Linked DNA regions of Sus scrofa. The protein of the gene in region 2 purifies or fractionates together with the protein of the main gene of each other region. This does not show direct contact. Links are inferred from orthologs where the notes say so. Each region holds a gene or a part of one and is shown on either strand. Other genes may lie near its edges. The genes, in order: HFE2 and TMPRSS6.

What was found.
Region 1: the proteins of TMPRSS6 (region 2) and HFE2 purify together in Homo sapiens (co-immunoprecipitation; 3 studies listed by IntAct). This does not show direct contact. The link is inferred for Sus scrofa from reciprocal best matches to the Homo sapiens genes TMPRSS6 and HJV.

The regions. Positions count from the first base shown.
Region 1 is NC_010446.5:99,326,521-99,331,040, reverse strand, and holds the start of HFE2 (hemojuvelin), read right to left. Parts: upstream 3,053-4,520; 5' UTR 2,828-3,052; intron 2,055-2,827; exon of another isoform or gene 1,555-2,054; 5' UTR 1,465-1,554; coding exon 1,368-1,464; intron 973-1,367; coding exon 395-972; intron 1-394. UniProt on the Homo sapiens protein: Acts as a bone morphogenetic protein (BMP) coreceptor. Through enhancement of BMP signaling regulates hepcidin (HAMP) expression and regulates iron homeostasis.
Region 2 is NC_010447.5:10,680,391-10,684,198, reverse strand, and holds part of TMPRSS6 (transmembrane protease serine 6), read right to left. Parts: intron 2,039-3,808; coding exon 1,834-2,038; intron 1-1,833. UniProt on the Homo sapiens protein: Membrane-bound serine protease. Through the cleavage of cell surface hemojuvelin (HJV), a regulator of the expression of the iron absorption-regulating hormone hepicidin/HAMP, plays a role in iron homeostasis.

The DNA.
Region 1 (4,520 bases), on a different chromosome or scaffold from region 2:
GATGCAAGGCTCATCCTGGTCCTCACTCCTGATCCCTTATTTATGTTCCAATATTGCCTCATCCCTGCTCAACCCCTCTCTCTCTCCTTTTTGGTCTCAATCTCAGAAACTCCCACAGGAGAAGGAAAACTTTCCTTTCTGTAACTCCTCAACTCAGGGAGTTACTTTCCTCTCAGCAATATTCTCTTTAGGATTTTCTGCATTAAAGTGAAATTTTGACCAAGGGAATGTGATTTACAGCAGCAAGTGTTTGGTAGGAAGGAGTGAATCAAAATGTGGGAGTAGTTGAGGATGAGAAGGAATAGGGAGCATTGCTGAGAAATAAAGAGATTGGCTTGGGAGAGGTACCCTGGGGTGACCATGGAGGATCTGAAGAAGCAGTTGAGTCCCTGACCTTCTGAGTGGTGGTGGCGTTGGCCCCCAATGCCACGGGGAAGCTGGTGGCCTGGACAAAAAGGAAGTCATTATCCAGCAAAGGCCAAGCTCCTTGGACACGGCAAGTGTGAAAGTGGTGGTGGAAGCTGCGCACGTGAGGGTCCCCAAAGGAGGCGCAATGCAAGAAGCCTGGAGGCTGACCGTGCAGCTGGGAAAACCGGCCTTCATAGTCACAGGGGTCTGGGGCTGGGGCGCCGGAGGAGCGGGCGGGGCCTGCTCCAGGAAGAGCGGGGCCGCGGGGAGGGGGAGGGGCCGTGGGGCCTTGGCGGGAGCAGTTGTGCTGAATCATCAGGTCTTCGATGCCGTGCACAGCAGAATGGAAGGCCAGGTCCCCGCGGCAGGTGCGGGCAGTGCGCCGAGTGCAGAGAGCATAAGAGCGGAGGGCTCTGCAGAGGCCACTGGAGCCCAACCCTCCACCACGGCCTCCTCCTCCACTTCCTCCTCCTCGCAGGGCTCCTGGTGAACCCCCACTTCTAAGGCTCAGGGTGGAAGATACATACTCAGCATTGCAGCGGAGGATCTTGCATTGAGAATGAGCTGAGGACAGAAGGGAGAGAGGATTTTAAGGTGGCCCCCAGATCCTGGCTATACCATAACACTCCCAAATCTCATCAAGGGATTCCAGCGTATCCAAAAACCCAACAGAGAGCCTTACCCACTCCCCAGCCCCCAGGCCCCAGGTTCCTAGTCTTGTTCTCATTCGGATTTGCTAAAAACGTGTAAGCCCTGCTAGATCTCTTCTCCCTCCGGATCAAAAGCTTTCCCAGTGCCCTTTCCCAAGTTGAGTAGAGAATAATACATACCTATCTGAGAGTGGGGCGAGTGACTGGGACTCCTCAGCCCCCATCTCTTCTCACACATGCGCACATGCCCACCCCTACATAGCAGCCTACCCTCTAGATTCCCCAAACCCTTACCTAACCCTTCCTTACCATGTCCACAGAGGAGCAGCAGGAGAGTGAGAATGCTTAGAGTTGGGGGACTGCCATGGGGGGACCAGGGACTAGGGAACTGGCCTGGATCCCCCATACCTATCCAGCCAGGTCCCCCCAGGCTCCGGTTCTTTCCAGTTGATGACCCTCCTACCTAGTGAATTTTGACCAGACGTCCTGTAAGGGGCTGAAAAAAGAAATTTGGCTGTGCAGGGGGAAAGAGAAGAGTTGAAGATTGTTCAGAATGGTGTGAAGAGAATCTGCGGAGATCAAGAAAAGTTTGAGCAGACTGGAGTTTGGGGAGAATGGGGGTCCCTGAACTAAAAATGTGGCTGTTAAGCCTCTGTGACCTGCTTTTGTGGCTACTTTCAGGTCCCTTATGCAATACTCCTAGGTGGGGGTGGAAGAAAGGTTGAATTGACTGGGGGGGGGGGGGCAGAGTCCACTGTATTGCCCCATTCTGAGCTACCAATCAGCAGAAATGTCAAAAAAAAAAAAAAAAAGAGGAATCATGTGGATAGTGGGTTCCCCAATAGAATTAGGATCTGAAAAGTACTTCAGAAACATACCTCTTACTTGCCCTTCCCCATCAGGATGGGATACTCTCCAGGGGTCATTCATTTCTTTTTCTCCTTTGTGTCAGAATTCTCAGCAAGAAGTTGTAAAGGTGGTATACACATCCCCTCTCTAGAATACCAGTATTCAAATGAAAAGGGAACCCATCTCTTTCATATACTCTAGAGAGCTAAAATTATATCTCTCTCTCATGGAATAATGGGATGTACACCAAGCATGCAAATCAATGTTTGTTGTGGGTCAACAGTTCTTGTATTTTTCCAAACCTTACTGAAGAATCATTCATTCCATTAATCTTTCCTTTGCAAGTTTAGAAGTTCTCAGTCTTTTGATGTGGATGGGGCTTGAGGAGGGACTAACTCTCTCTTGCCAAACTACCCTCTCCAAGGGTAAGGATATGACTGAGGGAGAGTCATGTAGGAGGGAGAGTAGGATGACTGAGACTAGAGTCATGGGGAGAAATCATTTACAACAAGGAGTAGCCCTACCCTTAGAAGCCCAACGTGAAGGGCACTACTAAGTAGGAGCAGGGTAGAAGGGTAGCAGTGACTAATCATCTGAGGTTAAATTTGGCCTTGGTGAGAAAACCACAGAATAGGAGATATGGGAACCTCCTACTAAAGAAAGAGACTTCACTAGTAGTCTTGAGGCAACCAGATGAGGAGAGAGCCAAGACTCCCAAAGGAGAGACAGAAATTTAAACTTCTAATGGCCAGAGAACAGAAAGAAATAAGACAGAAGGAGAAATGGACACTGGGGCACCTCAGTATGGAAGAGATCCTAGCTTTCAGACCAGAGACATCCAAGAAGGTGTCTTAATTTTATGAAAGTCTAACTTCACTCCAAAAGCTTATTAAAGGAATTGCAATTTCATTTTGACTTACTGTTTCCAGACGTCAAATATTAGTCTGATATCCAGTTCTCCAGCCATGACTGTCTACTGTGTCAGTCAGCTCCAGCCAGGGGATCCCCCGTCTCTTTCTCCATGTCTTCCCCAGGTCCCCAGACCGGTGGCAATCTCACTGAGGTCAGGGAACCAGAGAAGGTCTGATGTGGGGGGAAGGGAGAGTATATGGCTGGCCAGAGTACTGGACAGCTGAGCGGGGGAGGGAGGTGGCTACTGAGTTGACTGTTTTAAAAATAGCTAAGTCCAAAATTCCAGGAACATTGGTGGGGGTAGGGTGTTGGAGTTGGGGGAGTGGGGAGGGTAGGAGGATTGGAAAGAATATGGAGTATAGGGTGCCAAGTGCGGAAGGGGGGCAGAAATATGACAATCAAGTCAGATGTCCAATTTGAGCTTATATAATTCTAGTTAGTGCCTACTTCAGGCAGCCCTGAAGTATTGTTAAAAATGAGCTCTTGACCTTTAAAAATTAGAATGGACAATTGTATACATTTTGTTCATCACCTTCAAGCCTGCTATGTTAAATATGGCATTTAGTTTCTACAGAACACATCTAGGAGGTAGCTGACTTTAAATAAGGTCCATAACAGAGATAGTTCACAGCACCCCCACCCCCCATCTTTGCAGAGTAAATCAGATGGACTAAAACAGCCAGCTGTCTAGAGAAGAAATCTGAGCTCTGAGTTGTTTAGGATGAGGGTTTGTTTCAGTCTACTAGCTCAGATCCTTGCAGCTGTCTACCCTACATCCTCCATTTTCATTCCCTTATTTATACAGCAATTCCTCTTCCCCAAAATACACACAAAAATATAAGCTCCTGAGTTGCTGGGGGGAGAAGGCTAGGAAGGGCAAGAAGAAGGAATGGGGATAGAAAATTTGAAGGTTATTAATCCACAGAGGAGAGGACCTTGGAGAGATAAACTGAGAGAAAAAGAGATTCAGAAAGATATTTTTGTGGAGTAAGATAATCTGGTGACCTCTTATAAGATGTTGCAGTCAAGGAATTTAGCCATGTCATATTTTAGCAGCCATAGGCATCATCACCTCTTAGTATTTGCCAAGTGAAATTAACACAAGGGCCGACCTCAAATAGTGTCACTAATGCATCTGCATTAATTTGCTCTATACTTAATTCAGAATCTAGAGGCCCACGGAACACTCTTCTCTTTATTTTACATGTGTATCTGAAAATTTTAGTTTTTCTCTTGATGCCATGAAGCCATATCACAAGGGTTGTTTTTGGGTTTTGTTTTGGCCGTACCCATGGCATGCAGAAGTTCCCAGGCCAGGCCAGGGATCAAACCCTCACCACAGTGGTGACCTGAGCCACAGCAGTGACAACACTGGATCCTTAACCTACTGAGCCACCAGGGAACTCCACAAGGGTTTATATTACAAAAGTGTAAAATGACTCCAACCAAACTATCCAAGTGACTTTAAAACACAATAATTTGGGAGTTTCCTGGTGGCCTAGTGGTTAAGGATTCAGCATTGTCACTGTAGTCAAATAAATAAATAAATACAATAAGTTGACTATGAAATCCCAAGTGAGATTACTCTAAGGACAAAAAGAAGTGCAAAATATTTTAAAGCAGTCATGTTGGTGGTAGTGTTGGTATTGCTATTCTGAAAGCTTTGTGGGTATATCGTGGGATAAAACAAATGAGTAATTA
Region 2 (3,808 bases):
ACACTGCAGCTCACTGCAAGGTGCGATCCTTAACCCACTGAGCGAGGCCAGGGATCACACCTGGCTCCTCGTGGATACTCGTCAGGTTCTTAACCGGCTGAGCCACAGCGGGAACTCCCCAAGGTCACCTTAAATGGTCGCTTTTAATGTTGGAAACTTTTTTTACTTACTTAGCAGCTGAGCCCTGGTTGTAACTAAAACAAGGTGAAAGTGTGGAGGCTTCCCCCCCTCCGACCCCGACTCTGTCTCCCCATCACCACTAAGGTGCCCCCGCGTGGTCTGGGGTGCGTTGGAGGACCCCTCGGTCTTGTCTGACCCATCCTTTTACAGCTTCTCCGAGGGTCTGAGAGGGAGTAAGCAGGCTGGTGCCACAGGGAGTGGGGAGAGGGCTCAGCCGGCCACAGCAGGCTGAGGAGGGGTGGAGCCTGGGAGAAGCCCAGGGAAAGCCCTGAAGCGTCCCCGCTCTGATCAGGCCTGGAAATCAGATGGTGTCTGGCTTCTCTGAGCTTCCCAGAGCCCTCCAGGAACCCAGCCCACGCACACCCCAGACTGAGGTCACCACTTGGCAGGGCGGGGTGGGGCTGCAGAGGAGGGCTCAGCCTCACAGCTCAGAGACTCAGAGAGGCCCTGTGGAAGGGGGCCCGGGAGAACGTGGCCCAGCGCATCCTCCAGCACAGCCCTTGATCTGAACTTGCGGGTCCCAGCCCCACGCAGCCGGGAAGCCGGCCCAAGCAAGACAGGGGAGGCAGCAGCCTCGTGCCCCAGTGCTTCCCCCACCTCCTACAGAACCCTGTAGATCCACGGCACTCCACCCCCACCCTGCAGGAAGGTGATCAGGCTCCTGGAGGCCAAGGTCATTTCCAGCCCCTTCAAGGTCTCCCCTCCACCCACCCCCTGCCCACCTCCTGCATTCCACGCCTTATCCTAAAGTCCTGCTCCTCTGCTCAAGAATTTCCCGTTCGTTCCTCGCTGACCAAGTGTGAACATTCAGACTGCCCTTGGCATTCCATGCCCTTTATGACCCAGCCCCAGCTAGACTCTAGATGATGAGGGATAGTGGATGGCATGGGATGTTTAACGGGTATGCTTAATGTACAGTGATACTGATGCTTACTATGTGTGAGGATCTTGGCACAGAGGGACTGATGAAAATTCCCACCATAACCCGGCAAGGTAAGCGTGGTTGTGCACCTCTTTTACAGGTGAGGAAACTGAGGCTCAGAGAGGCAAAGTAACTTGCCTTAGGGCACACAGCTAGGAAGTAGCAGAGTGGGGCCGGAAGTCTGGGGCTGCCAGATTCTGAAGCATTCTAGCAAGATCATGTCACCTCCCAGAGCTGACTTTTTTTTCTTTTAGGGCCGCACACGTGACACATGGATGTTCCCAGGCTAGGGGCTGAATCGGAGCTGCAGCTGCCAGCCGCAGTCCCTACAGCAACGTGGGATCCGAGCTGCTTCTGTGGTCTACAGCACAGCTCACAGCAACGTTGGATCCTTAACCCACTGAGTGAGGCCAGGGACCGAACCTGAGTTCTCGTGGATACTAGTTGGGTTCATTACCACTGAGCCACAAAGGGAACTCCCAGTGCAACTGTTTTGTTACGAATAGGGAAACTGAGGCGGGGGGAGGAGGAGGGGTTGCCCACGGTACAGTCTCCCCTCGCCACCCCCTTCTGGGCTAGCCTCCCTGTCCCCAGGTACCAACTGCGGGGGCCAGCGTCACACAGCCCCTTGTCTCAGAATCTGGGGGTGGTTTTGACCCCACCCCTCCATCCCCTTCCCATTCCCAGCACCCCCCCTGCCCGCCCCCCGCCCCGCCTTCCCAGGGACTCACGAGGTGATGAGCCTCCCCTCGAGGGGCCCCGCCACGTCGTACATGGCCAGCCGGTCCCGGCAGTCCGCCAGCGTCCACTCGAGCCGGAGTTTGAGCATGAGGTCCTCGGGGCCCTGCAGGTGCCACAGGCAGCTGGAGGCCAGGTGGTCGGGTCCCTTCAGCCGGAGGACCTGGCCCCGGCCCACGTAGCTATAGCGGTAGCAGCCTGGAGTGGGGGAGAGGGACAGGCCCCCTGACTCCTGTTAGCTGGGAGGAGAGACCTGGGGTGGGGCCAGCCCCGTCAGGTCCTCACCCGGGCAGGGCTGGGGGCGGGAGAGCCGCTGGTGGGGCTCAGCCCCGAGGTGCTCAGTCCCATCTTTCTGTCCCGCTGCTGCTCCCATCTTCAGCCTCCTCACCCACTCACTCGTTCACCGGCTCATGCATTCCTTCCCCTGCTGCACTTGGCGAGTACCAGAGCAAGGCTCTGTCGCTGCCCGGGAGCAACAAACATCGGGGACAGATACAGATGCAGGCAGGACAGTGACGGCTGCCGGCTGAGCGGGCAGGGGACTCCAAGGCAGGAGGGCCAGTTGGAGGAGGGAGGCAGGGCTCAGATCACGCCAGGAAATGAGCCTTTTCCTCCTGTGGCCACGGGAGCCATGGAAGGTTAGGTGGGGCTGGAATCATAGACTCCTCTGGCTGCTGGGAGCAAGGCTGGGGAGGCCGGGAGACTGGGGACTAGTTCGGGGGTTGGGAGGTGCCCAGCAGTAAGAGGAGCAGCTGAGGGTTTCATTGCAGGTGAAGAGAAGGGGGTATGTTCCAGGAGGGCTGGGAGGCCGCCCAGGCGGAGGAAGCGAGTGATAACCAAACCACGAGAATAAACAGATGGCACTTAGCCAGCGCTTTGATGCCTGCAGGGAGCTGAGCTCAGGGCCATGCACCTACCATCTCATTTAATGGCTCCATGAAATAGTTTTTTGGGGGTTGGGGCTTGTTTTTTTTACGTGTGTCTTTTATTTTTATTTTATTTTATTATTGTTATTATTTTGGTGTGCTTCCCGGGAATCAAATGTGTTTCTTTTATTTTTGAGGGCTATACCCACGGCATATGGAAGTTCCCAGGCCAGGGGTCCCATTAAAGCCACAGCCACAGCAACGCCAGATCTGAGCCTCATCCTCGACCTATGCCACAGCTTGGCAACGGCAGATCCTTAACCCACTGAACAAGGCCAGGGATTGTACCCACAACCCCATGGATACTAGTCAGGTTCTTAACCCACTGAGCTACAATGAGAACTCCCGAGAGCTCCATGAAATAGTTTCATTGTTCCCATTTTACAGACCTGGGCCAGAAAACATAGATTCCTCTAATCTCCACCTAGTCTTTCCTGGGGCCCAGTTTTGTCCTCTGTAATATGGGGGCAATGACAATTCTAGCCTGGTTGTCCCAGAGTTTAGGGAGGGTGCATGTCCGAGTTCTCAGCATAGTGCCTTGCACACAGCAGGTGCTCAGTATGCACAGTGACAGTTCTTCTTTAGGTGGATGTGCGGGGAGGGAGAAGGTGGAGCTGGGGAGAAAGTCCTGTGACTTGTCACCATTTTCACCTATACCACCCACCCACCCATCCATCCATCCATTCACTCAGCATTGTTATTGGGCACCTACTCCGTGCTTGATGTAGGCTCCAGGGACCAGCAGAAGTCCCCGGGCCATAAGGGTGTCATTTAAACCTCACCAGGAGCCTGTGAAGCAGGGAGGTTGGGTGCTCTGCCAGGAAGCACTAGGGGTGCGGGAGTGAGCCCCAGATGTGGGAGACAGCCTGGTATGTGGGGCGTCCACACTCTGCCTTATCATCCTGGCTCCACCTCTCATCCACTGTGTGACTCTGGGTCAGTATCTCAGCCACTCTGAGTTCTGGGAGTTCCCACTGTGGCTGGGAGTTCCCACTGTGGCTCAGTGGTAATGAACCAGACTAGTATCTGGGAGGACGCGTGT